3 linked regions of the Styela clava genome follow. The main gene of each other region encodes a partner of the protein of the gene in region 2 in a complex. Links are inferred from orthologs where the notes say so. Each region holds a gene or a part of one and is shown on either strand. Other genes may lie near its edges. The genes, in order: cleavage and polyadenylation specificity factor subunit 4-like, cleavage and polyadenylation specificity factor subunit 2-like and cleavage and polyadenylation specificity factor subunit 3-like.

Evidence for each region.
Region 1: cleavage and polyadenylation specificity factor subunit 2-like (region 2) and cleavage and polyadenylation specificity factor subunit 4-like share a complex: the UniProt entries of both Drosophila melanogaster proteins name them as parts of the cleavage and polyadenylation specificity factor (CPSF) complex. The link is inferred for Styela clava from reciprocal best matches to the Drosophila melanogaster genes Cpsf100 and Clp.
Region 3: cleavage and polyadenylation specificity factor subunit 2-like (region 2) and cleavage and polyadenylation specificity factor subunit 3-like share a complex: the UniProt entries of both Drosophila melanogaster proteins name them as parts of the cleavage and polyadenylation specificity factor (CPSF) complex. The link is inferred for Styela clava from reciprocal best matches to the Drosophila melanogaster genes Cpsf100 and Cpsf73.

Annotation. Positions count from the first base shown.
Region 1 is NC_135257.1:6,091,681-6,103,095, forward strand, and holds the start of cleavage and polyadenylation specificity factor subunit 4-like, read left to right. Parts: upstream 1-6,830; 5' UTR 6,831-7,008; intron 7,009-7,181; exon of another isoform or gene 7,182-7,291; 5' UTR 7,292-7,387; intron 7,388-7,986; exon of another isoform or gene 7,987-8,308; 5' UTR 8,309-8,419; intron 8,420-8,969; 5' UTR 8,970-9,969; coding exon 9,970-10,896; 3' UTR 10,897-11,415. Other genes in the region: uncharacterized protein LOC120346153, read right to left, coding at 1,768-1,815, 2,102-2,195, 2,530-2,670, 2,801-2,853, 3,149-3,238. UniProt on the Drosophila melanogaster protein: Component of the cleavage and polyadenylation specificity factor (CPSF) complex that plays a key role in pre-mRNA 3'-end formation, recognizing the AAUAAA signal sequence and interacting with poly(A) polymerase and other factors to bring about cleavage and poly(A) addition.
Region 2 is NC_135251.1:30,701,124-30,712,407, forward strand, and holds the start of cleavage and polyadenylation specificity factor subunit 2-like, read left to right. Parts: upstream 1-6,093; 5' UTR 6,094-6,145; coding exon 6,146-6,217; intron 6,218-6,671; coding exon 6,672-6,748; intron 6,749-7,788; coding exon 7,789-7,948; intron 7,949-8,431; coding exon 8,432-8,537; intron 8,538-9,238; coding exon 9,239-9,382; intron 9,383-9,598; coding exon 9,599-9,751; intron 9,752-9,940; coding exon 9,941-10,029; intron 10,030-10,369; coding exon 10,370-10,468; intron 10,469-11,284. Other genes in the region: cytochrome b-c1 complex subunit Rieske, mitochondrial-like, read left to right, coding at 4,781-5,584. UniProt on the Drosophila melanogaster protein: Component of the cleavage and polyadenylation specificity factor (CPSF) complex that plays a key role in pre-mRNA 3'-end formation, recognizing the AAUAAA signal sequence and interacting with poly(A) polymerase and other factors to bring about cleavage and poly(A) addition.
Region 3 is NC_135251.1:10,434,596-10,445,638, forward strand, and holds the start of cleavage and polyadenylation specificity factor subunit 3-like, read left to right. Parts: upstream 1-6,823; 5' UTR 6,824-6,909; coding exon 6,910-6,965; intron 6,966-7,151; coding exon 7,152-7,215; intron 7,216-8,728; coding exon 8,729-8,826; intron 8,827-9,418; coding exon 9,419-9,547; intron 9,548-10,060; coding exon 10,061-10,188; intron 10,189-10,831; coding exon 10,832-10,971; intron 10,972-11,043. Other genes in the region: octanoyl-[acyl-carrier-protein]:protein N-octanoyltransferase LIPT2, mitochondrial-like, read right to left, coding at 3,390-3,706, 4,144-4,214, 4,800-4,926, 5,673-5,756, 5,877-5,979, 6,376-6,435. UniProt on the Drosophila melanogaster protein: Component of the cleavage and polyadenylation specificity factor (CPSF) complex that plays a key role in pre-mRNA 3'-end formation, recognizing the AAUAAA signal sequence and interacting with poly(A) polymerase and other factors to bring about cleavage and poly(A) addition.

The sequences.
Region 1 (11,415 bases), on a different chromosome or scaffold from region 2:
GTATAAAATGGTAATTGATCTATTCTATACAAAATAGAACAGAATTGCGATTACTTATACTGACCCAGGCATGTAGTAACGAATAAACGAGAATATCGGTCAGAGACCAAAAACTTATCGATCGAAAGTTAGGGGATCCCACAAAACAGCGGATTTACTCCATAGTGACACCTTGTGTTCCATCACCAATTAATTAATAAGTCGCTAATTATACGACATAATTCATCCAAAATCAATAGGCTTCTGGTCCGACATATGATGAATGCCCACAAAATCTGGAGCAGATTCAATCTCGCTTCCGTGAGATATCGCGTGCATCTAACAGACAGGCAGACAGACAGACAAACAGACAAAAACCTATCAACATACTTACTGATTAAAATCGATAAGTAATCACTAAGTAATAATGAAATCGCAGAATTGAAAGACACTGAAGGCGAATTATTATTCAACCATATTTTTATAAACTAGTCTTAACATTTAATAATAAGAGTCTGGTTCAATACCATAGTATTTCTTAGGTGGTTACGATACATTATTGACTTGATCAATTCTGTTTGAAAGTATGCTTTATGTGACAATGAACCAGTTATATTTCCACACATAAAACCCGTTCTTGAAGTTTGAAATGTTTTAAAAACTACCAAAATTTATTATATTATATTCTTGTTTTGCAAGCCTTTCAAGCTATTTTGTAAAAGAATTTGATCGCCTATGGCATATATTCTAAATCTAAGTACATACATGACTGTATATTCACCAGCTTGACAACTTTGAGTGATCATTTCATACGATGAAGGTTCTAAGAAAGTTTCTTTTTATCTATTGATCATAGTTCCACTGAACCACATACGAACTGTATATGGAGGTGCCATAATGACGACAGCAATACCGACAGCGTAGTCTAGATATGTCACTTAATAATTATGAGGGTAGAGCAGCTTCTCAGTTGTCAACGAATCGTTTATCCCCCACTCCATCAAGGAGAAAGCTCGATAATTTCGAATTTTTTCCCTCCTTAATATGGAAGCAGGTATAATTCTTAGTCTACAATTCTAGATGAGCCATCACCAATGTCCTAACTTTTATGACAAGCAATGAATACACCTATAGTCGATTTATGCGAATGTCATTCATCAAGTTAGTTCAAAACAAATGAATTCCAAACTGTAAGTCAGAGCAATATCTATATATTACAATCAGTAATATCGATCTTCCATGTATTCGGATCCGATGGTTATTCAAATTTTCAAGCATTTGAACTGACTGATGAAATGAAAAGCATATTGTGAAGCACAAGTATATATAACATCAGCAATTTCCTGATTATTGAAAAGAATGTCGAAACTAAAAGGTGGTAGGTACATGCATTGCTTTCAAACCTCGAATGAATATTTAAAATCGGTGTAATTCAGTTAAAATGCTGTATTGTTTTATTTATGTCATTTCTAAAGCTAACGTAACAATGTTATTGTGGATAACAAGTAACAGAAATGTTACCTAATAAACCCTAATAAATGTTCCACTTATTTAAAGTGGTTGCCGTTTGGTCAGAAAATATTCAAGTTGTTCAAGTCAAGCTGTATTAATTTTATCTAATTCTCCATCTCGTGCTATGAAAGAAAGCAAAAATATGCATTTCAAAAGATATATATTAATCGTGAAATCTTGTGATTACATACATTAAGTGCTTCAAAATGTATTCTGAAATATACGATATATATATATATTATATATCATAACGAAGATTTGGTGAAAGCACTTCATTCACCCAAGCGGTATTCCGAGTTCGGGTCCGCATTCACAATATGGAATCTGAAAGTGAGAAATGAGAAAAAATTCTTAGGCTGTAGATCTAAATTGAATCGAACTTGGATAAATATTTAAATTGGTTTTGGATTAACACGCTGCACATCATTTTGGGATGACTTCTTGTCGACTTTTCTGTTTTATTAGAATTTAACGGTGTATATCGAGTTCGTAACTATATTACAAAATGATAATTTTTGCTTTAATACAGGCGTTAAAGATAAATGACTTGAGATGTTGCCAAGATACTAGACGCGAAAGAACATCATAAAAAGTAAATAAAACTACTTACCGTGTAGACAAACAGGGAATACGGAACTTGTACACATTTGTATGTACTTTGGCAAGTGTTTGTGTTGGTGCATCCGTTAGGGTAATTTCCGGATCTTTGATTTAAAATATAAGAGGTTAAGATTTAGATCTACTCTATAATGTTGATTCATATTAGCTTTATATTCAGCTGGATTTTCACAACTGTTATAACATTAATGAAATATGTATAATTATAAGTATGTTTCAACGTGGGCGGCTTATTTTAATTTAATATAATTATGCATAGTTCATTCTCATAATAAGGTTTTTTCATGCGATTGCGTTGATGTCGCCACAACTTTGTGGGAATTTATGTAGTCACAATATTTTGTGTATCAGTATGAAAAATAAGCAAAGGTATATTTTGTCAACTATATAGCCATATAGTTGATATGCATTCATACTGACCTGCAATTGTACCCATAGACAATGTAGGGGCATGGCTGATCGGGTATCGGGATAGGAACGTAACATTTTTCATATGTACAGGAGGATGGAGGAGAGAGACTAACATGCAACATGTCACAGCGAACCTCTCTGTCAAATAGCCTGAAAAATATAATAAATATTCACTAATATAAAAATATATCGAGAATAAAATCAAGCTATGAAAGTGCTGTCATCAAAACCAATTCTTGATTCTGTAGTTTATTACACATATATGCTAAAATGTACTCACGAGTATTGATCATAATCGCATATTGGTGGATATGGATCTGGCGATGGACATGGCTGAAATGAAGGTTAAAACGGTAAAAGCATGAAAAGAACACAACGACTTTTTGAAGTTTTAGATAGAGACAGACAGATAGATCGATGCTCAAATTCATGTTTTTCATATAATTAATATTACTTCATATTATTAATTTGATAATTTGTGTGGGATTCCTCGAGGTTGTGGTAAAGAAACTCAAACAAACATTTGACAACGATCCAGCAAATAAGTAAGTACTTGTCACAATAGGTTTAATTTTCTCTGATTTTAAATAAATTAATAATTTGTTTAGATGATAAAATGTAAGCTTACCAAGTGCTGTTGGGCAACATCGGGGATTTGTGCGAACGTTTTGCAGATTAAAGCCGCAATGATAAGGCAGAGTGCGTATGATGTTTCCATTTTTGCTGCCAATCAATGACGTCGATCATAGGCCGTAGTTGTAGATGTAGAACGTCAACTTGTGTCAGTGTAGAAGAGACTTGACAACTGAACAAGTCTCGTGGTATTTATAGGTTTTTGAATAGGAGAGTTTTACTCTCGAAACTGTGATACCATCGTCTATTGGTCGAAATTTCTAAACATATTTTCATTACTGTAATTTAAAAGATAACCATTTTACAAATTACCACATTAAATTGAGTCCGTACAAATCATTTTTAAACATAACCAAGCATGATAAATTTACCATGGATATGAACCTCCAACTGTGGTCCTGTAGCAGATGCAAAAATGGCTTTCTATGATACTAAGAATTAAACGAAAAAAATAATACGTGCCATGTTTTGGAAGAGTTCCTGATCCTAATCTTGGAAAAGTTCCCCATCATAATTTAACTCGAATTACGTAAAGATCAACGTACAACGTTTGAAAATTACTTGAAATATATACTTGTTATTCCAAAAACATCATACAGATATCTATTATTTTTGATTTATCGTTTATTTATACCGTTTTCTCTCATTGGTGAACTGGGATCGTAAATAAGTTTCGACAACTCAGCTGTTTATACAAAAAAGTAAAATATAAATATACAGTATTAAATAAAAACATTTATGTTCTATAATCAACAACTTTTAGCAAAAAAATTTTCCAAAAGTTTTAAAATTGATATTACTTTAATTTTTGAGCTCTTTTGAAAATTGAAATTCTGCAAAAAAGTATTACGTAGCCTTATCATGATTACTAAGGAGGATCAAAGTTAACAGCCAGTAGAATATTCAACCTCATCTGCAAAATCATAAAAGAAGATAATCAATCCTTCAATGTCGAGATTTCGATTTTTATTTTAAAAAGACATGGCGATTGGAACATAGCTCAAGTACAAATGTGGCCAATATTTTTAGAAAATAAGCCATAGTTGAAACGATTCGTATGAATGTATAAAAATTCCATGGAATCAAAGCATATCAAAAAAAAATATAGATGTCATTAGATATGAAAATAAATAAATACAGTTTGAATTTGCCCGCTCAGAAACAATATGGATAAAAAATGACTATACTTAATATAATATTGAATATATAATAATATTTATTATTATTATTATAAAATAAACAAGATTAAGCTCGTGGAAACTACCTAGGTTTGATAGATGATGATAAAGTTAACCCAATCACACTATAGAGGGATCAATAATAAATACCGTTAATTTTAAAAACATGTTCGCAATACAAAAATTTCGTCCTTTTTCGTCACGACAGGTTTGTGCGACATTTCGCGATGGCTCCGACAATAGACAGAAATATCAGAAAATTTCCTGCCCGAGGCATCATTGGCTAAACTCCATTTGTCATTTTTTCAATTCTTGAATTTTCTTTAAATAATATAGATGTATTCGATGTTGAATGTTAATTAACTGAATGATTATAATTAGATTTGACTATTAAAAATACCTCGAACCATACAACAAGGAAAGAATGTTTGCAAAAAAACATGTGATATAGGGTTTTGTTTTTTATCAATTCTAAAAAGAAACATCGTGTTTTAAAACAAGGGCTTGTTTTAAATCAAATTTTTTCTGTATTTTTTATTGAAATACCCCTTGCATCGCCCCGAAACTACGCCAAAACGTTGCGTTCGGGCAGCTGTACACGCGGCCGGAATTATAATTTTAAAAATGTAAGTAAAAATTCCTATTTTGACTTTTACTTCTATTGCGTACATTTATCGCGACTTTCGTATCTCCAAAAAAGTCATAAGATTTTAACCGGAATGTTTATCCGAGATATCAAAGAGACGTTTTGAGTAAGAAAAATCATGAAAATTAGCTCACAAGCCTACTACAAAATCAATTAGAGGAATCGCAGCCTTCGGCAAAACGAGTGGGTTGCGATAATGAATAATATGATTACATCGACGGCGGATGAGACACGCTAGTCTGGCCTATGTTAATCGTAAGAGTCCTCTGATGCAAGGCGACTCAAGTAATCTGTTATGATGTGGATTTCGAGTTCATGTATTGACATTTTTTCTCATAAAATGAAGGCATTATTATATTTAACACTGTCCGGTTAATTTATGCTTAGCAAGCTTTGTTTTTAAGGTTGAAGTGATAGAGTTTTTCAAGATTATACAAACTCATTTATTCGATCGCATTTCAATTTTCGCAAGGTGGTTTTGTCGCAGGGTCGTTTACGACTACGTAACGGTGTTACGTTATCGGTTGCGTCTTACTGCGCCAACCACTGAGTTACAACATGAGAAGGTGTGCATGATCCTCTATCGTTATTTGTGGCGTTTTGAAGAATTTTTTGCAAATAAGAGGCGCTTGGCAAGTTTTTACATTCATTTTTCTTCAACCTATTTAATACGAAAAAATAAAATAGTACAGCCATTTTAAACAAAGCAGGCAAAAAAAACTCGATTTAAAACAATTGTTTTAAAACAATTCTTTTGGAACAAATCCTTAGATATAACCAAATAGTAAAATCAGCAGAATTAAAATATAAGAATATAATTGTTCAGAAATCAAGCTGATGATTATAAATATATGTCTCATTTTATTTGGACAATCCCAACCCATCATCACAGTTTTGTGCCAATCGTATGAAAACTAAAATGTACCGAATATTTCGTTAATTATTAACAGGAGGCGTCAAATTATTGTATTAAAATAAATTGTACTTGACTCGGACCAGTGTTAGTAAATTTTCGGCCTGAGGCTATATTGAAAGGAAGTTGATTTTTTTGGTTGTATAACTTGTATAAGTAAAATAATACGAAATTGTATTTTTTTCAATTCAAGTCAAATCGGCATCGTTGAAAGTAAACATAACCTGCGTCGTACTTCAAGCCATAAAGAAATCTCAAAAATTGCCAAAGCTACTATATATATATATATATATATATATATATACAATAGAGGTTACCAAAATGCCTGATCACGATGGATTAATATACCTTGAGATATTTGTTATATATATATATATATATATATATATAGCTTTATAAATAAAATTTTCACGCCTCCAGAAGTATGCGCTTCAAGATGGCGCACAATTGAACATAGTGTGTGTGTACCGGTTAGAAGTCAGGTTGTGCGACATCTTGGTGCGCATACTTCTGGAGCACCAAATTTTCTTTGTTTTGTCATTTCTATGTTTTCTTTTTTGTAATAATATCATGGCTCGGAAATGAAGTCGTTTGGGAAAAATATTTCCTCATATTTTATTTCTGATGTATATATATATACAAAATTCATTGACAAGATACAGCATTGAAAATTATTTTGCCAACGATTATTACTCGATGTCAACTAAATCGATATATCTGACATGGGAAATTCAATAAATATTTAAGTGAATATAAAATGTTTCATCAATACTCTATTCATTTTCCTATCAAGCTAAATCAATAAAACAATCGATATTTTCTTATTTGATGAAGAATCGCCACTTAATCTCCTAGTATCATTATTAAAAAAGTAGCGAGGTTCATCCTATTTTAGTATTTTCAATCAAGGCAGGATCGGAAGGAAACATGATATGAATATATTTAGTGTTGCAATGTTGCATACTTGCTAAGATGATATTTATTTGAAATAAGCAGCTTCAGTTAATAACGTGTAGTGTAAGTAACGTTATTGTTTTTTGCTTATTACGTGGATGGTCGACGCATCAATTGGAGTGTCCAAAACGCTGTAATAGTGTTGACCAGCAGTTTGGAGAATGGTAAAAAGACAAAGGAGAATTTATAAATAAAGTATGTCTTAGAAATTAGCAGATCGTCTAAACTAAACTCTTAAGTAAACGTTAGACAAATAATATATTGGAAGATATACAAGTATATATATATATATACCAAGCTATACCAAAGAGTTTAAATCTTGTCATTGTTTTATCAGTTGCTCCATCTGAATAACTGTTCAAATTGGCAGCAATTTAAATTTAGTTTAGAATTCGCTTTCAAACATGCAGCGGGCTCGTTCAACATGGCGAACTGATTTCTATCTAGAGTCTTTCCACTGGGATAATTTATATTACGGCTGTTCCCGTACGCCTTCGAACCAGAATCACACTGACTACATACAAAAATCTTTGGACAACAGAGGTTCGTATATATTGATTTTTAAAACTCAAAAAACAACACTGATTAAAATTCACCTATGTGTTGGAGATTTTACCAACTATTTTGTCTAACCAGCCAACATTCAGGGTGGTGAACCTAGTGTATAGTTTGTTGTCAAAAATTCATTGCCCTAACTAAGCAGATACCCAAGTCTTACACTAGCAATCAAACGTAGCGTTATGTGCGCTTGTAATCAAAGATTTTGTACCCTGATATAACACGATACACACATTTTTGTATCACCCGAAATTCATACTCATTAAAATATACGAACAACATTTGCGACGACCCTTTAACAATTAGATAAATAAAATAATACGGATACATCATCTTACCCAAAAATGTAGTTTAGTTCATAGGTTCTCAAAGTGCTCCATAGAGATCCCCAGGGCTCCAAGAGAGAAACCTTATAATACGAATACATCATCCTACCCAAAAATGCAGTTTAGTTATTAGGTTTACAAAGTGCTCCATAGAGATTCCCAGGGCTCCGAGAGAGAAACCTTCTTGAACTATCTCTTTACTTATTGAAATACGGACTTGGCTGGTTTTGTTACTGTCAAAGCAATTACGCCATTAATTAATAAAATTTGACAACGGCACGAATGGTACTGGTAAACGTAAATGGGGTAGCATTTTCACCCGAGTATTTTATATTGACTCCGTGCACGTACATTCGCAGCGCGTGTTTTTAGGTCACTGCGGTGGTGTAATAGCTACGGTATTCTTGCAGATAGATTGCACTTTTCCCCCATTCGAGTTTATAAAGTTCATGGTTACGCGGTGACAGATCGGTCCAGTAGGTAAAGAATATCAACATGAGTTTAATGCCACGGACAACGGGAATTGGTAGCAAAATATCGCGTTGTTATAAAAATTTTGGAAAATGTTTGTTTTCTTCAGAAAGTCAAGAAAACCATCCCAACACACCAAAAGGACGTCTGGACGACGTACAGAAAGGTGTGAAACACGAAAAGACCCAAGAAAATCTAAATAATTCTCAAATCCCCAAGGGTAGGCAAGACTAACAGAATAGTTTTACTGTTTTTATTATGCCTATGCATTCCTCATTTAACCTTCTTGTTTCAGTGTTTATTGAAACACCATCCAGCCATCTTGCAGTCTTGTTCCGTATCCTAGCCATGTCGCTTGATAGTTTGTTTTTAACAATGACTGAACGATGCATGACCTAAAACATTAAATTACTTAGGTGTAATCACTGTAATGTACTAGCCTATCATGGTATCAGGATGCTTACAAGTTTATACCTTAATTTTGTACCGCTGTATCTCGTCTTGCTTTTCAGTCCTATAGACTGCTATATCTCAACTCACAAGGTGAGATTGCCTGTGCCATAGGCCTATGTTTAAACCTCATTTCAGCATTTTGGGTTTTTGCTGTTAGTCTGTCGCTACAAAGCTCCCAACACTGTAGCATAATGGCATTCTAGAATCCAAATTCATGTCATTTGCAGTTAATCTATTCTATAAACAAAGCTTAGTCAACTATGTCTATTTAGTTGTAAACATCCTATGCATTTTCTCAATTTGAGATTTTTCCACAGATAATATAAATCCATACACTGGGGAAATTGGTGGACCGGCAGGGCCCGAGCCAACAAGATATGGTGATTGGGAGAGGAGAGGAAGAGTGACAGACTTTTAGACTCTTTCATTTTCTACCTTGTTCAATTGTTTTGTGTTAAATATCATTTTTAATTATGATAAAATTTACAAAATAGACATGTAATATTAAACTTTTAATGCACTGTGGAATCTTGACTAAATATATAGTTTGTTATGTATTATATACTATAAATCTAAATACCTTTTAATGATCAATTTTGATATTCAAAATTGGTCTACTATAATGATTATTTACAAATCTAAAGTGAATAAATGTTGCTCTACTCCATGGCAACTTTGCAAACAGTAATTACAATAAAGATTATTTGAAATTCGTATATTTTTGGTCACTATGGACTAATAGTGCTCGACTTGAGTCTGTTGGCATTGCTAGTTAATCTCTGGCCCATTTTCCATACCCACCACCTCACCAACTGTGTAAGAAAGTGGGTAAGCAATGCTGAAAGAAAAAGATTCTATATGAACATAGTAGCTTACATATTAGTTGGACATCTTTGGAGTGAAAATTGTTGTTTCTGTGTTGGGCATAATTTAAAATTAACTGACCAATAACGCTTGGAAATTAATATACCTTGTCATTTCACTGATGTGACTGTATTGATTTCTTCGAGACTTGCTGGTAAGGCTGACCAGGAGGTTTCATATTCCTATTTTGCTTAATAATTGTATTATTTTTGGGTGCATCCTAATAGCAAAGAATTTGAATTATTTTTGTTTATTTAAACCAGGTCTATAGCTTTGCTAAAATCAACCATTATCAAAATTTTCAAATATATATTGTGTATGTTTGTAAAATATTTACAGACCCTTGGATAATTTGTATTTGATGTATGTGCAGGCTAGTTTAGATGGTCATATTGATAACATGTTTTATTTTTACATAAACTGTTACTCTGAAAGCTCTTGATCAGTAATATTATGCAGGCAATAGTTGCTGATGTTAATAATGTTGTATTTGATATGGAAGTTGCAATGGAACAACAACTGGGAGTTCAGCCCCTGCCTTTTCCTGGAATGGATAAGTCTGGGGCATCTGTGTGTCATTTTTTCAAGCAAAATGTCTGTGCGAGAGGTGTAAACTGCCCATTTCGTCATGTTTTGGGTGACAAAGCAGTTGTTTGCAAACATTGGCTTCGTGGGTTATGCAAAAAGGGAGATCAATGTGAGTTTTTACATGAGTATGATATGAGCAAAATGCCTGAGTGCTATTTCTACTCAAAATTTGGCCGATGTGACAACAAGGATTGTCAATATCAGCATATTGACCCTGCTAGTAAAATAAAGGATTGCCCTTGGTATGATAGGGGCTTTTGTAAACATGGCCCTCACTGCAGCAAGAGGCATAAAAGAAGGGTTATGTGTATAAACTATCTTATTGGATTCTGCCCTGATGGGAAAAAATGTAAATATACCCATCCAACATGGGATCTTCCCACTGTGGAACCGAAAGGTGCAAAATGTCACATATGTGGAGAATTTGGGCATAAAGTGGCAACTTGTCCACAAAATCCATATCGAACCTCTGAAGCTGATACTAACAAAAGCATGCCTAATGGAATCCATGCCACCACACCACAGTTTGGTGGGCTTGTGCTTCACATAACTCGACCAAACATGACTCCATCCATACCCATGCCATCATCGAATCTTGGTGCAGGAATACTAGGTGCGATGCCGAACACATCTCTAACTGGCTTGTCACCAACGTCTGTTCCTCGTATGAGACCCATGAGGGATTTATCAAGAGTCACTTGTTTCAAGTGCGGGAAGAAAGGACATTACGCTAATCGTTGTAATGAAATTGCTTCATTTCCAATGCCATTCTTGTCTAAACCAGCAACTTGAAGGAGTTTTTGATTGTAGAATTCTTTGAACTTGTGCTGTGGTTTCAAGTCCAAATGATTGCTTGAAAGAGTGAAGCAGATATAATTTCAGCGCCATGAGACTATATTCAAAACAACATTCACATGCCTTGGTGTATGTATTCCCATGAAAAAGCAAGATTTCTTTGGGTAGCACACACAGCTTACATTAAACCAGTCTATTTCATAAGGAACACAATTTCATGCTTGTTTGGCTTGGTTGTCATATGGAAAACATTGGTAATAAATACACATCACTGAATTGAGTTAATCCACAAAACTTATCTTGCACTGTGCAATTGCCGGAGTTATCCTAACATCTCCGTATATAATTTGAACTGCCTTCAGTATTGCTGTGCTTATACTTATTTTATAGTGATCGGACGGTCCATTGGCACAAAATTAACTTATTGATTACTTCCATAAATTGTTCTTGAAAAATGATTTTCTCTACTGCGAACATCGCTTTCTATCATTCATAAGTTGTTCAATGTTTAATAAC
Region 2 (11,284 bases):
TTGACCTGGGGTCGCACTGGACACTTGAAAGTTGTCTTTGGGGTAGCCCTAAAAAAAGCTTGGGGACCCCTGCACTAGAATAAATTTAAAAAAGCCAAACGGAAATTTTGACGCCAGGCGTGTTTGAAAAAAAGCGTTAAAAAAGCCAACATGGCAACTAGGGTTGAACTTGGATTATCCAGATAACCGGTTAACCGTGAGTTATTTTCTTATCAGATATCCGGATATTATTGTGACGGTTAACCGGATAATAGAGCAGTATATATAATGCATATGCGCATTAGTGTTTTTTATATTTTTTTGTTGAGTGGCGACTGATATCTCATATATAAGCATATATTAACAACTTTTATTCATCTCCCTATATGTACATTGCTACTTTTGTTAGTTACATTGTTACATAATTTTGTTTGCTACGTTGCTGTATGTTGTTTATTTTGTAGTAGTGCAGTTACTGGTACAGTTGCATGTGCATTCATCTTATCTCGGACCAGAAGCCTATTGATTTTGGGCGAATTATGTCGTATAATTAGCGAGTTATTAAATAATTAGTGATGGGACACAAGGTGTCACTGTGGAGTAAGAGCGCTGTTTTGGGGGATCCCCTAACTTTCGATCGATAAGTCTTCGGTCTATGACCGATATTCTCGTATTCGAATTTTGGTTGATCTTTTAAAGTGTTCAAAACTTGAGACAGCTGCGCTTGATTTTTTTTTGTTACGTCGCGTAGTTCAAAATAAATATGTAAAATATACTTATATAATGAATACTCGCGACGATTTGTGAAGCAGATCATGACACTCGCTGATAATACCGCCTACGTTGTTTTCAGCTGATAATAATTTTTCTATTGCGCAAAATATTCAATTTGTGGCCGATTCGAGCATTTTAAAATGTCTTTCAATAATAACTGTGTTCTGAAATTTAGGTGCTCCAGAAGTATGTGTACTAAATGGCGCACAACCTGAACATTGTATGTGTATCAGGCTAGGGTTCATATTTTCTTCTCCTCAGGCACTCAGGTCTTTCAACCAGCATTTTAATGATATATAACTACCGTGTTTCCCCGAAAAAAAAACCTAGCTTGAATTTCAAAATAATATAAGCCAGTCCTTAAAATAATACCTTGTCCTAGTCGATAGAGCGAATTTACTTTTTTGACCTAGTCGATAGCAAGGAATCTCTACTACACGTTTTAAATCAAGGTGGTCCAAACCAGACACATTCCTTGCAGCCCACAGAACAGTGTCAGCGTGCAATAAACCATTGGTAGATATTTGCATTTATTGGCAGAACATTTTCTAATAATTTTTAATTTCGGAATTTCAAAGTTGTATCTATAGACGTCAAGACGGTGCCAATATGAGAATGACGTCCTGTGATAGGTAGAAGGAAAATGAATTGTGTTGTGCAGACAGAACCAAGCCGATGAGATGAGTCGCGCTTTTTATCGAAACTTCGTGCCTTACGCTCGCGTCAAGTAACTCCTCATTCGGAGACCCGTTTTGTTTCTTTTTTTAGTTTAAAACACTCCATTATTTTCAAGCGTTGGCCATGTGGCAGCAATGTATTTACTTACTCACAACAACATTAAACCACAGTGTCTGGTGTGTTTTCAAATAATATCTGTCACGAAAGACTGTTATTTTAAGCAACATTACAAAACCAAACACGGGAAAAGCAATTTTAAAATACCTAAAGGCTTTATACAGTAGATATCATAGCAAGAAATTTTACCTACTCGTTTTAAAGGATTGAAAATCTATGTTTTAGTGGGTATTTTAATTAAATAAAAACGTGTTATTTATAAGTAAATGAATATCGGTTTTCATATTTTGTATATTTGGAAATCTAAAAATTCTCTAATTGAAAATAAAAGACATCCCCCCAAAATAAGCCCTAGAGTTATTTTTTGAGAGAAAATTGAAATAAGACATTGTATTATTTTCAGGGAAACACGGTATGTTTAGTAGTTCTTTCAAATAAAAACGGGTTACAGTATTTATAGGTAAATGGATACCGGTTTTCATATTTTGTATATTGTCCATATATGTAAATCTCGTAATTCTCTACTTTGTAATTTTGTTTTTGATAAATGAAAATAAAAGATATCCCCCAAAAATAGGCCCTAGTGCTATTAAAGACACTGCCTATTTTAATTATCTATTGAAACTTGGGGGGAGCCGGATTTCATGCCAGGACAGCAGGGTGCTTGTCCCATTGTTTGTATAATAGTAAACATTAGTCCAGGCCTATTTTACGTTGCCCAAAAAACAACTACCACAGTAGTTCGAGACAGGACGACTTCCAACAACTGGCTTTTAGCGGCCATGGCGAGTTACTCATCACGTTACCTGAAAGAAACTGAAGCCGTCTTTCGAAACAGTCAACGAAATACAATCTATCTGTATCTCATCAGTGCAGTGGTTCCCAGCCTTTTTTCGTATCGCGGCACACTATTGAGCTCTTTAAATATTCGCGGCACACCTATCACAAAACATGAACATTTTCTACTCATAAAGCCTTTCTGCTATAAACTAATTTAAAGAAAAGAAGATCAGATAAGGGGAATTTTATTCATATGAAGACAACATACCCCGCATTTAGTAACAGGTATATAATATTAATAGTGAATTTCAGCCATACTGAGCTTGATTCTACAAATCACCTGAAAAGGCAGGGTTCAGACGGATGGCGGATACCTGGTTAGGCGATAATTTCATCTGTATTTAAACACATGTCGTTTCCGTCCTAAAAAAATATCATCATCAGGTATTCACACTTTTGCACAACCTAATTTTTTTCAAATTTAATATCTTCCTCCCGTTGCCAAAATTTGTCGGATAGAATATTTTTATCGAATCAAATAATTTTAACGAATCGTCAAATATCGGGAATTATTAATTTGTATACCACAGGCATCCAGAACGCTAGACATTCTATTGTTGGTGAATTCGGGATTTTATTCCGATTTTCATATTTTGCGCCGGCTTTGATCTTTCTCGCCACCGTTTGTAAATTAAGTGTCCAAATTTTAGGGTGAAATTATAATATTTCTGACACCGGAATCAGGATATTCATGGATACGATAGTTGACCTCCTTATGATTTTCTTTCTCCATTGTGCCTGTTTTATTTTCGTATTAAATAGCCAATGAAGAGTGCGTCTGTAAGTTAATGTGCCAATTTTCAACAGTATACAGTATTATATGGATGTTTCCCCAAGCATCGACTTCCTTGTTTACTTCGTGACATCGGCCAATCAACGAGATGCAAAAAGTGACGTAACAATGCATCCGCTGGGTCATTTTTCTCACTCATGGATTTTTTTTTTCAGTGCATAAAACTCGTGAGAACGGACGTGAGTTTGCTTTTGTCCGGAACGTTCGTGAAAGTGGTACCGGGATAGGCAAGTTCACGAAATATGATATAGGGCATATGCCCAGTTATACCAGCAGTTTTCTTTCGTTGTCGTGTATTAATTGAGTAATAATGAATTGATTACTCTGGTGATACAGGTTTCATTGTTCCATGAGCAATAATAATTTTGTTCGGTTTTATATCATATTATTACGACAATTGTATAATATGACTATATATATATCGATATCATTAGATCCCCCCCCCCCTGATTATGTTTTACCAACTTTCATGACCTTTACCTTCATGACCTTTCATGAACCGATACAACTGCACAGGGGTACCGAGTCCAGGGCTGCCACTCTAGATGTTTTATATCTAGATCAACGGCTAACATGATCTAGATCTAGATGTTTTTTTCAAGATCTAGATGTAAAATTTGGAGCCTAGATGTTAGCTATAAAATCTAGATTTTTTTTCGAAGTTTTGAATATTATTCAATGAGAAATAAATAAAGAGATGTGTATAATACTGTAGCCCAAGCCTCATTTAATTGGGCTTGTGTTTTTGTGTGCGTGCTGGTGGGCAGGCACATGAGATACTTCATGTTTTAAACGTTTTTGTAGGTTTTGCTTGCCCTCCAGAATTCTCCATTTTAAATTTAGGTTTGTTATGGAGTTTTCGAAATAAACTATCTATCTATCTAATAGGTGAATGAATATTACCGTATTTCATTATTTAGAGGTACCGGTATTGATGTAAGATTGATAAAAGTCATTCATATTGTATTCGTCCCCCGGTATGGTACCATACAGCCATATGTACTTAAAATATTTGAATAACGAATTAAACATGATTAAAACATGTGACGTTTTAATTAACGTTAAATAGAAAAGAGACGTTTTCCGGATGATATTGTTGCCAAGGGGTTTTAAAATTATTAAGTTTATAAGTGCTATTGAATGTGTCTCTCTTTAAACATCAATCTTTCAAAATGCCAAAGTTTATACACTACCAGCAAAAATTTAGAAAATTTTGACTTAAGGCTGTACAGCTGTACGGTAAGGGATGGTTTGCCCCAGATGATAAGAACAAGGTCTTTTGTAAGTTCTGCAGATGGGAATTGAATTCTAGATTATGATGTTAGCTTCTTCGACATCTAATATTACTGTTTTATGGTTACTTTTCATTAAATTAAATGACTTCATAAATAGATGTTTTATTTTTTAATCTGGATGTTTCTAGATCAATCTACAGATCTAGGTGTTTTTAGTCAGGCAAAAGTGGCTGATCCTGAATACTAGAATACCGTTACTTATAGAATAAAACAATGTTAGAATGTGAATTTCCCCAATTCAATATTACATATTTCTTTGAAAATTTAGTTTTGTGTATATATTTATTTATTCTAAGATATAAAAATGCTTCCCCTGTTGATAAAAGGCAACTTTATGCCTGGAATATCTCACACAATTCAAATTATTACCAAGCAAATGCGACCTTTACCAGCTGCAGTAGCATTGAAAGCTCAACTACCTGATGTTGCCCAGAAAGCAGTTACTAAACTACCTTCTGCTGTACCAATGGCAACTGTTTCTATTTTCGGGGCTCCTTCAGTAAGATATGCGCACACTGATGCTGCAGTTCCTGATTTCAGTGCCTATCGACAGAAACTTAAAGATGATGTAAGCGATTTTAGAAAGACAGAAGATGAACGGAAGCTCAGAACCAAGACATATCATTATGCCATTTCAGCTGGAGTGTGCATGGGAGGAGTTTATTTGGCCAAATCTGCGGTAACTATGTTCCTTAAAACAATGAGTGCTTCAGCAGATGTTCTTGCTCTTGCATCAATAGAAATCCCATTGTCCGAAGTTCCTGAAGGAAAAAGCATTACTTTCAAGTGGCGAGGAAAACCTCTTTTTGTTCGCCATCGGTCTCCTGATGAAATTGAGAGAGAAAAAGGAGTTAATGTTGCAGAGTTGAGAGATCCACAGCACGATGCTGAGCGTACTCAGAAGGAAAACTTTTTAGTTGTTATAGGAGTTTGTACCCATTTAGGATGTGTCCCAATTGCCAATGCTGGTGACTTTGGTGGTTACTATTGTCCATGCCATGGTTCTCATTATGATGCGTCTGGTAGAATTCGAAAAGGGCCAGCACCATTGAATCTTGAAGTTCCAGAATATTCCTTCATTTCCGATGATATTATAAAAGTTGGTTAATGACTTATGCCTGACCATTTTTATACATCACATGTTATTGCGAAGTCATTTAGTATAAAAATATAGGGAAATATTGTCAAAATAAACCAGGATTTTGAATTTTGTTATATTTTTGGACTGTTGTAAGTTGTAACTTTATGTTTCCAAGTATTAGAAACACCTCTAATTTAAATAAAGCTGTTTCATGGAATATTGGTTGTTGATTCTTTTCATATTTCAAATTAGTTTCAATTTTGAATATTTATAATTTCTATATTCACTCCTGAATAATATTGTTTTAAAACAACATTTAATCGGAAATTACTGTCTGGAATAATGAGATTAATATTGGAGCAATCTGTTGACTAAATATGAGGTTAAATTATTTTGCATATGATGTATGTATGGATTATATATGTTCCACTCAATGATGTTATTAACAAATGTCTTGTTTAAAATTGGACTTGAATATTAGAAACTCTTGACTTTTCATTAGTGCTTAATTAATATATTGTTTGTTTTTTGAACGTAGATGAATTAAACTTTTTCAACCGGCATGGTATTTATGAAATCTGTTAAAATATGACATCTATAATCAAGTTCACAGCACTTTCTGGTGCTCAAAATGAAGAACCAAACTGCTATCTTCTGCAGGTGATTTGTTGTTATTGTCTTTTCATTTGTTCTCTGTGTCTTTTAGGAGCAGTTTTTTTATAATTAGATTGAAAGTTCATGTTCAACGATGTGACCACTGAAACGTAATTAGATTATTTTGCCTTCACAGAGAATGCGTCTAGAACGGGCTTCTCAAACGGTGGGATAATTTTTTGGGGCTTGAAGCTAGGTGAAGGATATTTACATTCTATCCACATAATTTCAACGTGTTTTTTGAATAAAACATACTTTTGCCTACGATCTGTTATTTGTAGCCTATTATTATTAGCTAGTTATTTTTGAGATGGGACATGAGACTCCACACATTTAACTTAAAAAGTTTAGGAACCACTGGATTCTAGAAGAAGCAATGACTTTTTCTCTCGAAAGCAGTCTTGTAAAAATACAAATCTGTAATAAATGTTTCTGAAGCATGTTATCTCCATATCAACAGGTTGATGAATTTACGTTTTTGCTGGACTGTGGTTGGGACGAGTGGTTTTCTGATGGCATTATAAAAAAGATAAAAAGGTAGCTTTGCATTTTTCCTCCAAATTGTATGGAAGTTTTACAGCACTGTGCGCTATCATGGGAAATAGTTATTCAAATGAATCTACTCTATTCGCTTAATGCATTGCATTAGCATTTTTGTTGACCCTTTGAGGAGGTTTGTCATGCTGACTACTTTTACCCTGCGAATATACCATTTGTCTTATTCGAACAGCTATTAAAAAGTACCCTTCAATAAAAGCAATGTTTCCCAATACTAGGAAGCCTGTAGTTCTCAAACTTCATGACCCTTCAGGCCTTCACCAATAACTCTCACTCTCAGCACTTTATAAGAATACATAGGTTTGCTTTTACTGTGTTTTTTCATCACAAATATTTTTCACTATGTTCAATGATGAAAACAACAACCAGGATAATAAGTGCATTGTAGTCAAAGAATTAACAAAATCACAGTCATTTACTTCAAATTAATGTAGTCATGACAAATGATACTTAGTAAAGGCCTTTGCTCATTGCCCCCACATGACCTCTCTGTGGCCCTCTTGGGTGACCGAGGGCCCAATTTAAGAATCTGGGCCAAGCACAAGATGAGATTTCAATGATTGAAGCACAGAAAGCTTGTTGATTTTTCATTGTTTTGAAAATAGCAAGGATGAGAAACATTCATTTTAGTGGAAGAAAACGAGTGTTGTCTTTTGTGGAATAGCCACATATACGACTATTGTGCGACTGTTTTGGGAGCTAGCAGGGCTAGCAACTGATAACAAGTACATCCATATCTAGGGTTCAGCTAGATCCAATGCTAACTTTATTACCATGATCATCTCTTCTCCAGACAGAATTTATTAGAAAGGTTTCGATTTGAATCTCATATTAGCCCTTTTTCTATTGGCACCACTGCTGTGTGAATCGATTTATGAAAGTTTGGGGCATATGGTGGTAATGGGATTAACACAATATCTTTAACCGCTGATGGCACAATAATTCATTGGCAACACATTGTCACCCTTTTTTTGGGATGCTGAGGTATTCAATATTAATAATCATTTCATTATTTGTAGGTATTTGAGCCAAATTGATGCTATCTTACTTTCATTTCCTGATCCTCAACATCTCGGCTGTTTGCCTTATCTTGTTGGAAAAGTTGGATTGACTTGTCCGATATATGCAACTGTTCCCATCTATAAAATGGGGCAAATGTTCATGTATGACTTATATCAGGTATTCTGCAACAGAGGATTTGCATTTTTCTGCCTCATTCCTTCATCATTGCTTTGTAAGAGTTGTAAATTTAATTTAATGGCTGAAGTCAGTCGGGGAACAAATATAGCTAAAGTTATATTTATCCTGTTCAGGTAATCGGTGCACAACTGCACATCGTTTAAGAATTCATAGATTATCCCACAAAAATGCCATTTTCATGGGAGTCAACAATGCCATTGTTAGCATTATTCCTGATGCTCTGCATCACTATACTAGGTACAACATTATTGAGTTTTCTTCAGAACCAAATGGAGAGAAATAAGGCCATTGTTTGGTATATATTTCACTTATGTTATTTGTGATAGCCTCATTGATAGGGTGAAATAATTTATCACTCCTCAATTTTATCATGCAAGTTTGCAACTGGAGAATCAGATTTGATAATGATTGGGATTTGCTGGATATTTGTTATTATTGTAAATTTAACAATGGTTTTTCCAGTCTCATCACAACACCGAAGAATTTGATAAATTTACACTGGATGATGTTGATATGGCATTTGATAGAATCACTCAACTCAAACATAACCAAACTTTAACTTTGAAAGGTGAGGTGTAAATAAATTTTGCAGTAAAAAGGCCTTGATATTCTTTTCATACCACAACATTCCCAGATATATTTGTCTTTATCGGTGATAAACAATGGTTCATGACCCCACAATGTACATGTACCGTATATCGAATTGCCTGAGTAAATGAGAATGTTCTTTTTTTCCTCCACACAATGATTTGGTCTCTGTCTGAATGGTTGTTAGTCCATAGATGTAAAACAGTAGAAACTTTTTGAAACTAAAAACGTGACCGACTACTACTGGTAATTGTTTTTGTTTACTTGGTTGCTTGTTGTATGTAGGACTTTCTGTCACTGTCATTTGAATAAATGATGTAATCACATTAGGTAATTTTGAAATGATACATTTTTTGATTATTTTCTTAAAATACATAGACTACAGTCTACAATACAAAAAGTATGCTTCCATAAACAAGTGGCAAAACTAGAATTGAGACGTGAACACCAAATTCGTAAATCAGTGCAATTACGTAACATATGTGTTTATTAATCACCGTTTTAAAATTGATTATTGATATAGTGTCCACATAATGGTAGAATTTTCAAATGAACAAAATTTCGAGTAGTGAGGGCCTTCAGTGACAGTTGGAGACACCTCAAATATAATTATGGAGAACATGAAAAAAACCAAAACTTGAAACTGTTCATGCAGAACTTTTATTTCTATGTACGGTTTAGATAAAGGTCACGGCTTATCAATAACCCCCATACATGCTGCTCATATTATTGGAGGGACGTCATGGAAGATAGTCAAAGCTGATGAAGAAGGAGAAATCGTTTATGCAGTTGATTTCAATCACAAAAGAGAAAGACATTTGAATGGTAAATTACGACTTAGTCGGTCGCAGCTCGTATGTAATCTTTATAAACTTACACTATGAATGAATTGCATGCCGATTTAAGTATATCAGGTTGTAGACTGTGTTGTTTGTTTTTGAGAAAATAAGAGTATCCAATAAATTTTAAGTAATTTAAGTAATTACGGTAGATCCTTGCTAGTAATTACAATTTTGTTGTAATCTTGTACGCTTCTGTAAGGTTGTACTCTTCTGGAATCAGTTGGAAGTGGTGGCAATGGAGGTAGAGGCGGAATAGCTGGTTCAGTGTGCCCTCCTCAACTTCTTATTACTGATGCCTACAACGCTTCATATCAACAAGCAAGAAGAAAGTTGAGAGATGAGGAACTTTTAAGTATGTACTTCAGTCATTTTCGACAAATTATCGATGTCTTTCAGTGTTATATCGGATTCATGTAAAAATTGGTACATTTCTTTATATGATATTCTCAGATTTTCCTTTCTTTCGCTGATGGTCTTCAAATTGCTCTGGAATGAACAATGACTTGGTTCTGAATGCTTTATGTTCTTGTTTATTTTTCAGCTAAAATTATAGAGACCATGAGATCAGATGGGAATGTGTTGATTGCAGTTGACACTGCAGGACGAGTTCTTGAACTTGCAATATTATTGGTATGATAGACAATTTCAATTACTGCCCAGCATACATATATTAAAACTGAGTATAACCTTTACAGCAGCAGAAAGTTTACCTTGTCCACTAGATGTCACTGTTAATCAAGGTTCTGGATAGTCTATATTTACTTAGATTCCTCAATATGATTCATTGAGGAAAAAATTTATTTGAAGCTTACTTTTTCTTCTGTACAAAGGCAATGTATTACTGTCTTTTGTTTGGAAAAAATGCAACCAATCTGGATAGCTGTATTGACTACCATATGCTGCTTGCAACATGCATGACATTTACATCTTTAAATCCTTATGAAAATTAAATTATTTTTTCATAATTCAGGATCAGTTATGGCGAGACACAAGATCAGGCCTACATGCTTATTCCCTTGCTATGTTAAACAATGTAACATACAATGTTGTGGAATTCGCAAAGTCTATGGTATGTGCTCCGTTATGTTATATATATAGTGATCTATATAGTACAGATACATTGGGTATTACTCTCCAGTCCACATTTAATTAGGTAGAAAACAGGCTTGCTTCTTGCTTGCATGAATAATTCATTGGGACTCGAGTATGATTCAAGAAAAATGAACACTGTGATGAGGATTAGGTTATATGATTTTTCATGTTTTATCGGGAGTGAAGAAGGAGTTATCTTGGCTCAATAACCATACAGATAATCACAGCCTTTATTTGGTTCACCAGTCGGACATGGTAGGGCCGATAAGGGCCAACAAGAGGTAATAAGATGGCGTGATCATGTGGCGAACTAAGGCCTCTCATCTGGTTACGAGTCCAAGTTGGGTATGGCATTAGTTAGCCAGTTATTTGTTTTCGGAGGTACGGACATGATGGTGGAGGAAGCCGTATAAATGCAGTAACGGATAACCTATTACCAAACTGTCTTTTCGAGCCTGGGTTTATGAATGGCTCAATTCCTAGTGAAATACTGTGTTAAAATAAAACACCAGTAAGTATGCATCATATGCGATTGTGTATTTGGAGCAAGTTTAAAGTAAAGTAAATCTTCAAGTTCAATTTAGGAATAATGGAAAATTAAAAAAGAGATTCATGCCAAGGGTTGTATTAGACTTGACACTAGCAATTAATCAGGTCTTCATTCAAATAACATTCTTGATTTTAAATGTTATATTGGTTTATATTGAAGCTTCACAATATATTGTGTTTGCATTTTAACACAGGCATCTTATATCAAACCATGACATTAAATATTCAACGTGAATTGCAGTAC
Region 3 (11,043 bases), about 20 Mb from region 2:
AAAATGAAAAAATAAAATGAAAAAGCGAAAATAAAAAAATAGTTGTGAAAAAACATAAAAATAATTGAAAAAAAAGAAATAAAAAAAAATTTAAATTAAAAAAAAAATTGAAAAATAAAACAAACAAAAAAATTTAAAAAAAAATTAAAATTAAAAAAAAAAATTAAAAAAAAAAAAATAAATTTGAAAAAAAAAATTGGATAAAAAGAAAATAAAAAGGTTGACAACGATGGTCCGCCTCGTGGCCCATCGTTGTCACGCGTTTTTATTTTTAGAAAATTTGATGCTGCTTGGGACCAACGTTGTCAGACTTAATCCTACACGCACAAATGTGTTTCCAGCTCACTACTGATTTTCATGACCAATATCCAATAAATTCAACATGAAAATGTTCTACAAATTCTCCATGCTACAAGTTCAACCACAAGCAATATATTTATAATAAGGATAAGAGAATATAGAATTGGATACGAAAATTTGTTTTTACGTGTAGAAGGTAATTTAATTGGAAAATGCTGCTTAACTGCTCAGACACTCGTGCGATGCCGGTACGGTATCGTCTGACCGTACCGGTACCCATGCAATCACTCGTGAAAGAATGGGAGATGATGAGTGATTGTATGGCTACCGGTACGGTCAGACGCAAAGCGACTATAACCGACTACCGGTATTTGGTAAGACGGTACGGTACCGGCATCGCGAGTGTCCAGACAACTGAGTAGTTAAGCAGCATTCTCCAAATTACCTTATACACGTAAAAACAAATTTTCCGAATTTTCGTATTCAATTCTATATTCTCTTATCATTATTATAAATATATTACTTCTTGTTGAACTTGTAGCATGGAGAATTTATAGAACATTTTCATATTGAATATTGCTCAAGAAAATCAGTAGTGAGTTTGAAACCCAGGGAACACATTTGTGCGCGTAGGATTATGCCTGACAACGTTGGTCCCAAGCAGAAGCAAATTTTCTAAAAATAAAAACGCGTGACAACGATGGGCCACGAGGCGGACCATCGTTGTCAACCTTTTTATTTTCTTTTTATTCAATTTTTTTTTTTTAATTTTTTTTTTTTTTAATTTTTTTTTCGTTTTCATTTATTTATTTTTTTTTAATTTTAATTTTTTTTTTTTATTTTTTTTTTAATTATTTTTATGTTTTTTCACAAAAATTTTTTTATTATCGGTTTTTTATTTTATTTTTTATTTTTATTTTCAATTTTACGCGTGACAACGATGGGCCACCATAGACGTGATCGCATTCATTACGTGGGGTATGAGTGCGCGGCAGCATTATTGCCACATTCGATAGAGTAGAGTAGACGATAATTAATTTGACAAACCTGGAAGTATGTTTAATACTATTTGTAAAACAGCTGTCCCATGACGATGCAGATGATTTATTCCGTTATTTCTGTGAAGTGTCCGGGCATGTTTATTAGTATTACAGCATGTCATCGGGTTAAGAATAGATTCTGGGAATTGAATAATTAATAATTTTTTTTTTTTTGACAGCATACTTGACTCGATTCAACATAAAAATAGGATAATTCATCGGTTCACAAATTTTGATGAATTTAGCTCTTGAAATACTCACTGCAAATTAATATCAATGTGTCACGGTGGAGACAGGTGAATTTATTTTGTTTCATATGCTCTCGAAAAACACTTCAAATCAACAAGTGCAGTGGAACAGAAAGTATGGAAAATAAAGCCCGTGGTTAGATTCGATAAGCGTGCGAGCAATGTTCAAATATGTGGAAACGAAATGCGGCGATTCGTACTGCTATTGTAAGATAATAGCTGTCTCTGAGCAGCGGAGTCTGTAGTGAAAATTGGCGGACAAGCTTGACGGAATAAAGTGTTCCATATTCCATAACAGTATTCTCATGTAATAAAATGAAACAGCAAAATTTAGTTGAAATATCAGGTCCCATGGGAAACAATAGAAGTAATAGCCTTCTGATGATTACGTTACAGTTCTATTTAAGCACTGACAATTGTAATCGATTGGTGGTCCATTAGTTGTAACCGACCAACGTATACGTGAGCCACACTACGACGGCGAGTAGTCCAGCAATCCTCTCTCACATAATTATCCGCCACGGCTACGGGATTCCAATCTGCGAGCCAACACAGGGTAATCAGAGGTGCAGACGCTTGCCACGATGAGCCTAAGATCTGTGCCCGGTTCGTGCCACCTGCAATGCTATCGATACTTATCCATCCACTTGAACTACGTAAAAGTAAGATTTTGTATTGCGTAAGTTCTCGTTCGATACAAATTAGTTTAAAGCCAACAATTCTGCCAGGAACATGAATTGTGCGGCTTTGCTTACATTGAATCCAGCAATGACTGCAACTTACATTGCCGATCCACAAGTGCAAAGAGGGAGTGCGTGCATTTATCATACGCGGCTCGGTGGTTTGCTCACCATGCGTTGGATCATGCTTGACATCGCCCCACCGATTACCCTGCGCGAGTCCGCGACATCGGGAAATCACTCTATGAAGAAAGCCGGACGGTAGTCGATGTTCAGTTTAGATTCCTCCACCAACAGGGCTTATTATTAGGCTTTTCTCGGTACGAATACAAAAAGGCCCTACCTGGACGTCATCCAGCGATCTCCCACTTTTCTCAACCTTATATTGGACGTACATATCGTTGCTCGTTTTTTAATACAACTGTCGTGAAATTTATTGTACTTTCTCAATTTTTTTACAAAGCTATTTGTAATATCACAAATCAGGTTACAAATCTACACTGTAGCCTAGGATCATATAATTGACCTAATTATGATGTCATAAAATGCAATAATGTTACATTGCAGATTTAAACTTCATTACATCGGTTGTGATATCAAATTATGAATTTCTTCGAATTTATTTTGACAGTGAGTGTAGTCACAGAATACCCCATCTCTAGATATCGGCCAATATTTTCTAAGCTCTTGTGTCGCTACAGAGGACACAGCCAAGCCTTAATTATATGATAATTTGTGGTGCTCCAGAAGTATGCGTACCAAGATGTCGCACAACCTGAATTCTAACCGGTACACAACACTATGTTCAGGTTGTGCGCCATCTTCTTCCTAATTTGTTTTATTTGGCTCAGTATATTCTATATATTTAAATAAAACTATACTTAAATTAGTAATTATAGTGTGGTATCACACCTCAAAATTAAGAGGGGTGTCCACCCCCAATAGCGGGTGTAGGGAAATCACCCATTTGGCTTATTTTTTATAATAGTATGCGACTTGAACAAAAGAAGGTATGCGATTTGATGTTTGAAATTTTTTATTCAAAATGCATAATATTAACAAAGTAATAATAATATAGGAACCAAAAAAAACAAAGAGTAATTTCAATATCAGAGCTTGTATCACGATTTCACACCCATATATGTTTCATTCTTTTTCTTATTCGTTACTAGTTGAAATAAAGTCTCGTCATCAATATTATTATTGTCCAATTCACAGTGTTGTAGAGGTAGAATGTCCCATTCGAATACTGATGACATTTCTTTAAGAAATAGTGGCATGACTTCTTCAACTGTGACGTCTCTACCGGTTTGCAAGCTTAGAGATGTCACGCCTTTGTCTAAGATGCCACAAGGAACTATCCGTGAAAACCATAACATATCTGTGTTGCAATTTAATGCCAGTCCATGTGAATATGTTTTTTTCTGAGCATTAATACCTGATGAAAATAAAGTAATTTAATAAGTATAACTTATCTCAAGCAAGCTCACAGTGAAATAAATAAAACACATCTGCGAGCAAAGTGAGTGAACACATACAACTTCTTTTTGGCAATACCTTCCATCTTATATTCTGTACGCATTAAACCTTATCTAAGATGAGTCGACGGAGTCGAAAAAAACTTATCTAAGTTACCTTATCCTACCTACCCCCTTGGATAATTTAACAATAATGCTTGATATTTGAATATCGCAATTCATTTTATTAATATGGATACCAAGATATTTATACGATTCCACATTTCTAAGAATAGCCCCCCCCCCCCCTCCCCCAATTTAGATTTTTTTCGACAACAAAAATAAAATAAACTTTGATAAATAAAAGTCTTAAAATTAAACTGCCCATCAACTTATCAAATCTCACCCTTGAACTCACCCATTGCACATATTTTATCGTTCCCAACCCAAACTCCTGTGTGAGGAGATCGAATTCCTTCTATATTGTACCTGGAAATACATTTCAGATTTGCTATTGAAAGAGGAAAATTCAATTCAAATAGAGAACTTGCGCACCCACTTTATGCTTTATAAAGCATTGGGCGCTCCAAAAGCATGTGTACGGTTATGGATAATTTTGTTCACCTACTTTACTTCAAGTTCAATAAAATTATGGCCTAACCATAACCTGGTACACATACTCCGGGAGTACCAAACAGTGACATATAAACCATAATACTTATTATAAACATGAACAAGTTTGCATTGATAATTTTCTGCAAAATGCCCCATGAACTTAACAAATAATGACTATCAATTCATAATATACCACAATATTGCATCTTCTTGCACAATCATCCAAAAAATAGTTACTCAATATTTATGGTAGATGTTTTGGTAAAAGTTGGATTAAATGGTTTTTTGGAAACTTTCTAGTCAATATGTGTATGAAATGACAAGCTATGATTAGCCGACCTCAGTTCCAAAAATAATAATTTCAATGTGTGGTGGCTAATATGCAATTATACACAAATTACCACTTGGAAACTCAAAACCAGATAACAAAACATATTGAAATATAATGAATGACCTTACTTTTTACAAAGGTTAATGATAACTTCTTCCAGCAACCAAACATACTTTCTTACACCGATTTCTATCTGAAGTTGACTGAACACAGGATAAACAACTAACTGACCTGGCCCATGAAATGTTATCAGACCTAGGAATGAAAGTAAATCACAATTTATGTACGAAGGGCTTGGATAAACATTTGCAACTCTTTGATATTGTAAAGCATAATCTTTTGATACCCTTGGATATCGGAATCTTCCAATGATTATTGAATTCACTTTACTATGAAAAAGTGATGACGTGATGCATTGAAATTGATAAATTTTTACAGACATATACTACCGTATATCAAATATAAAGTAATGATAGAACCTGTGTGAGATATTACTCTGCCATAAATTTGGAGCCTGGTAATGTTCCGTTGTAATTTCTGGATAGTTAATCAAAAATAGTTAACAGAGGGCATCATTAGAAATGAGTTAAAATCATCTTGCCATTTTAAATATATTATATTCGTGGGTGGCAGACATTGGAACGTAGTATGTGTACCAGACTACCAGGTTAGGGTTAGGCCATAATTTTATTCCAATTTTCCTTATTTTAGTTCTATTACGAGTTCAGGGACTAGCCAAGTGACTCCCGTAGTATTTGCACCTGAAATCATAGCCAAATCGGGTACACATACTACATTCCGGTGTCCGCCATCTTGATTCACATACTTCGGAAGTACCTATTCGAATATGCATAATATAGCATAATTTAGTGTATTCAGTAACAAAATATTTAATCTTTGAAAACTTTGATAGTATTGTAGTTGGTGAAGTGACCACTGGTACTCCTTCCCTACTTAATGTCTTTTTTAACTGAAGCAATTAATTTTTATCTGAAATTTACCTCCTCTGTCAGTTTTCACAAAATCTGCTCCAAGACTTTCCAGTAATTTTTGCTCTTCATCTGTGTATTGCTTGTCTCTGTAACCTGTGTAATATTGTTAGCATTGAACAGTTGAATAATCCATGTGCATTTCCACATTAGGTGTAATTATTCTTTTTCAAGTTGAACTCAGACATAAGTATTTCTGAAGTTAACAAAACCTACCTATCGTATACACAGGGTTGTGTTGTAATAATAGTAAAGTAGGACTTGCAACTTCTGGTTGAACTTTGTTCCAATTGACAAGATTGTGTTGAAGTTTTAAAGCCTGCAATAAATGAGACATTACATCAGTACATTGATTTCAATTGCATAATACCAAAATATCACACTTCCTCAAAAATTGAGGGTAAAATCTCCATGAATCGATGAAAAGGGGTTGATCAAAATATTATAAATGGAGAAATGCATGATCTCATTTTGCAGCTTTGCCACCAGATACATTTAACATCTGAGGGCTGGGTGGTGTCTATGACTGCGTTAGGGCAAATTATCCGTGTCTCATATAACTATGAAACTGCTAGAATGTATAATATTTAATTTTTTTTATTTGTGTTTGAATATTTTCGTTGGAGATACCTACAAAATTAAAATGTCTATAGAATGTTTGAATGTCAAAGATACCGTACTGCCGTAAGTAAGATTATAATAAAGGCATGCTAACCTTTTTATATCTCACAGTTCCAAGATAAAAAGCACGCGCGAGTGGTCGAATCTTTTCCATTTTCTATAATTTACGTTTTTCGAGCTCGCCGGTTTGTTTCAAAAGATTGAATTAACGAATACATGAAACTGTGTGCGACAAATGCAGCTCAGTTACCTCCAAAAGTCACGTGATTTTGTTGGTGTATGAATGCATTGATGCGTATATTTATGTGGAAGTTGGAGTTGAAAGAAAGAAGTTTCATTTTTTCGCAAAGGCAATCATGAATATCGTACGTAAGCATGAATTTGATTTGAATCGATATTGCATAAAACTGATTTGTATTTGCAATTGAACAAATTAATTATATATCTCGCGTTTTTCCCGTCAAAATAAATTCTCAATTCTGTGAAAAACTTTCATTCAATTGAAATCTCCGGTCACTACTCAGTTCATGCTCCACATTTCCCAAAGAACCGGTACTGGTACGGTAACTGATTCTCTCGGAACCGTGTCTTATTCGTCTCCTCGTTCGAAGGGAAATAAACGGATAAAATGGCGAATAGTGGACAGAAGACCGAAGAAACTGATTTATTAAAAATCACTCCGCTGTGAGTAATATACGACTCCATTTCTTCTATGTCTGACAATGCATCTATGGAACCAATTTGAGATTTTTGTACTGGTTTTGCAATCTTCAGATGTTACACTTCAGCAATATGCTGTATTGTAAATGATAATTTTTTGTTCAACATGATTCAATTTACAGATTTAGCGTTTTTTTTTTATAATTTCAGTGGGTCTGGTCAAGAAGTTGGGAGATCATGTCATTTGATGGAATATAAAGGAAAAAAGATTATGGTAGACTTTTATTAAGGATTTTATTTTTTGGTTGTTGAGCACTATTTAAAGTTTTCGTTCCATTTTTTTTTTTCAGCCAACAATTTATAATACGATGGACATGATAGTAGGGCCTAGTTCCCAAATTCCAAGAATGTTTCGTCATTTGGTTCAATAAAACGAACACTCCATATGTCTCACAAATGAGGGTTGTCTGGCACGACGGCAGATGCGTCATATCGCGCCATGCTTGTCTCGATAATAATCTAAATTAATCGAGGGCCATCAAGTTACCAAAGTTGCCGTTTTTTGCTAAAAACTCTCGAATGCCATGGTAAAAATCGGATTATTTTTTCCCGATGAATTCAATGATTACGTTTATTAGATTGCGCTTCTCTTTAGTTTATCACGCAACTTCTTTTTACTGCATTTTTACCGACATTGAGGGACAACAATGTCCAAACGTCCCCAAAGGGAGGGGTGTCTGTTCGTCGCAAAATGGGATTCTCTGAAACGAGACAATGTCGCTCCATCTTCAAAGTGTGCTGTATTGCATGATGGTTTAGTGAGCAGAACTTTAGATCAACAATGTTGTTTGGTTTCCATACCCATTCTCCTCCACCTTTTCTAAGGTATAGAATCCCATAATGGAGGATGATTGGGAGGGACTCCTGGGATTCCAAGAATAGTGACATCTTTGTGTATCAATGTCTGCATGCTTGGAGCCTTAGCTGTTTTGGTAGAAACTTGTGGAAACATCAGAAAATAGAATTCAATCTAGTTCAATTCTTTAGTAGAATCTAGTTCGAGTGGGAGTGGTGACTCCTCTACGGCCCATGGGTCGGGGCCGAGGCCCAATTCAATGCTATTCCCAATTCATCAGGCTATGGGCCGCGACCCATCGAGTTATGTAAAGGGACTATTCACTTGGCTAACACAGACAGTCTCCGAACTCATAATAGAACTATAATGTGAAAAATCTGAACAAAATTTTGTCCTAACCCTAGCCTGGTACACATACTACAGGAGTATCCTTTTCTGTAGTTTGGTATTATGCTTTATTTTTATATAAAGGCTTATCGTAAGAAAAAAATTTGGTGGCATCCCACGATTTTTTTTTGTTTTGAATATTTACAATTTTGTAAAAAATTGAAAATTTTGGTAAGATAATTGAATTTTTCCTGATGGGGCCACGGCCCATAGCTTGATGGGCCACAGCTCATGTGGCCCAATTAGATGGGCCGTGGCTCCGGCCCATGGATCATAGAGGAGTCACCACCCCTGTAGTCTAGTTCAATCTGGTTCAATCTAGTTCAATTTTTTGGTAGAAACGTGTGGAAACATCAGAAAATATAATTCAATCTAGTTCCATTTTCATGCTCACCGCCTATTATTCATGAGTGTAATAAATTGAGTATGCAATGGAACTGGGCCGAAAAGATTTTGGCCCATTCCAATAATAGTAGCCCATTCCGTAACAGCTTGTCTAGTGTCTGTTCTAATCTTCATTACTAATACTTTTCATTTTATGCAGCTGGACTGTGGAATTCATCCAGGGATTAGTGGATTAGCAGGCCTTCCGTATCTTGATTTCTCTGATCCTGATAAAGTTGATTTATTGCTTGTTACACAGTAAGTAATTTTATTCTGAGTTGAATTTAAACCTAAGTCCTAAGAGAGAATTTAATGTCTTACCTTAGTATGTGGTTTATTAAATCGGCAATAATTTCAAGTATATAAAGTCAAGTGGTTTCATCTTTCATTTAATTTGAAAAAGAGATAAGGCGTTTCAATATGGGATATACCAAGAATTAAATTCAATATTTTTATTGTTTTAATTTGTCTCTTTTTTTTTGTGTGTCCTGGGGTAATATTACCTAGGTCATGGCCCCGTATGGGAGGCTTTAGCACTCATGGCCCCCCTTGTTCACCATATCAAAAAACTATTATGTTTCATTATGTAGATCTATCAAACAAAGGGTAAAAAGACAAATGTGTTTAATAATAATGTACAACCTATTACAAAAGTATTCAGGTAATGAAACTATGAAGAGCAAGGTATTTTCTTTTGAAGTGAAAAGTATGCAAACGAAATGTGATTGAAATCAATTTGTCATAATAGTATTGTGGCCTCCTATGACTACTCTGGGGCCCTCAGTTAGAAACCACTATTCTAGTCTAATATTATTGACAGAATCTTAACCTTTTTTTCCGTTTTATCCAGTTTTCATCTTGACCATTGTGGAGGTCTACCATGGTTTCTACAGAAAACTCCTTTCAAAGGACGAGTGTTCATGACTCATGCTACAAAAGCTATCTATAGATGGTTGCTTTCTGATTATATCAAAGTCAGGTAGGTTTGATCTTTTTATATTTATACTTCAAGGCAATAATATTTTGGATAACTTAATTCTATTTTTCTGGTAAAACTATATCGGAAGAATGTGAGAATACTACATTTGCCAATTCTTGTTGTTTCTTTCGGTTTTGGTAATTACTGGAAATTTAAAAAAATTGAGAGAAAGCTGGATCATTTCTATCTCTGTGGCATGGAGGCAACCGTCATTCAACTCACTTTCAACTTTGTTGAAAGTTGTCCAAAAGTTTTGAAATGTTTTAAAATTGCAAGCGGAATTTATCGATACCATATATTGTTTCGGCCCTCACAGATGTATTCAATGAAGTAAAAATAACTAAACAATTTCTGATTAAAAACAAACATACCTGGTTAAGATATATTGGGAACTGACTTCGTAACAAAATGGATATTGTAAAGAGATCTTATGGACACCCTGTTCTTTTTTGGACAACTCATATTTAAAAACTAACTCATTATAAGATTAATGTGATCATGTATTTCCTTCAGTAACATATCGACAGAGAATCAACTCTACACAGAAAGTGATTTGGAAGAATCAATGTCAAGAATTGAAACCATTAATTTTCATGAAGAGAAAGTTGTTGAAGGAATTAAATTCTGGTGTTATCATGCAGGTAGAATTGGATGTGAACTTGGAATGGTAGATGGAAGCCAAGTTTTTTTTACGCCCAATACTTTTTCTAGTATATTATGTTACTGACACAATAATGATAAGTAATGTTTTGTGTTCTGTCAGAATAATGGTTTATGTAAATGAATGAAAAAAAAAAAACTTTTAGGCTTTTAGCTGTCTGTAATCAAGATAAATTACCACTTCATCATATTGAGATGGTCTCGGAAGTTTTTCTGTTCAATAATTTATTACTATCTAAAAAAGTGTTGGGGACTTTGACCCATCTCTGTTTTTTATCCAAGATAGCCCGACAAACTTTCTCATCACTTTCACGTCTCTGCCGAATGCATGAAAGGGTATCTGCTTGAAATTGGATGTAAAACCAGTAATGGCATGCAGTTCAATTGTGGTTACTGCTCAGTTTTCATAAATGTGATCTTTATCATTTTGTAATATTAGAAAATGCAATTTAAAAATGAAATTATCACAGATGACTGCATAGCCATCTTCAACTTTATTTCTCCATGACTCATTTATGTTGTAGAATTTTATTCAAAACATGAGTGATTGACTACCTAACTCCTAAGTGAGATTAACCATTTCTTCAGACTGAAATTAACTTACATAATTCATATATTTCTCAGGTCATGTTCTTGGTGCTGCAATGTTTATGATTGAAATAGCTGGCGTGAAAGTTCTTTATACCGGTGATTTTTCGAGAGAAGAAGATAGACACTTGATGGCAGCAGAGATACCCGCTGTAAAACCAGACGTTTTAATTATGGTCAGTTCTGAATTATTTTTTACATATTTCGTTATTGTCTGCAAAATTTGCTATCGATTGGACTTAAAAATG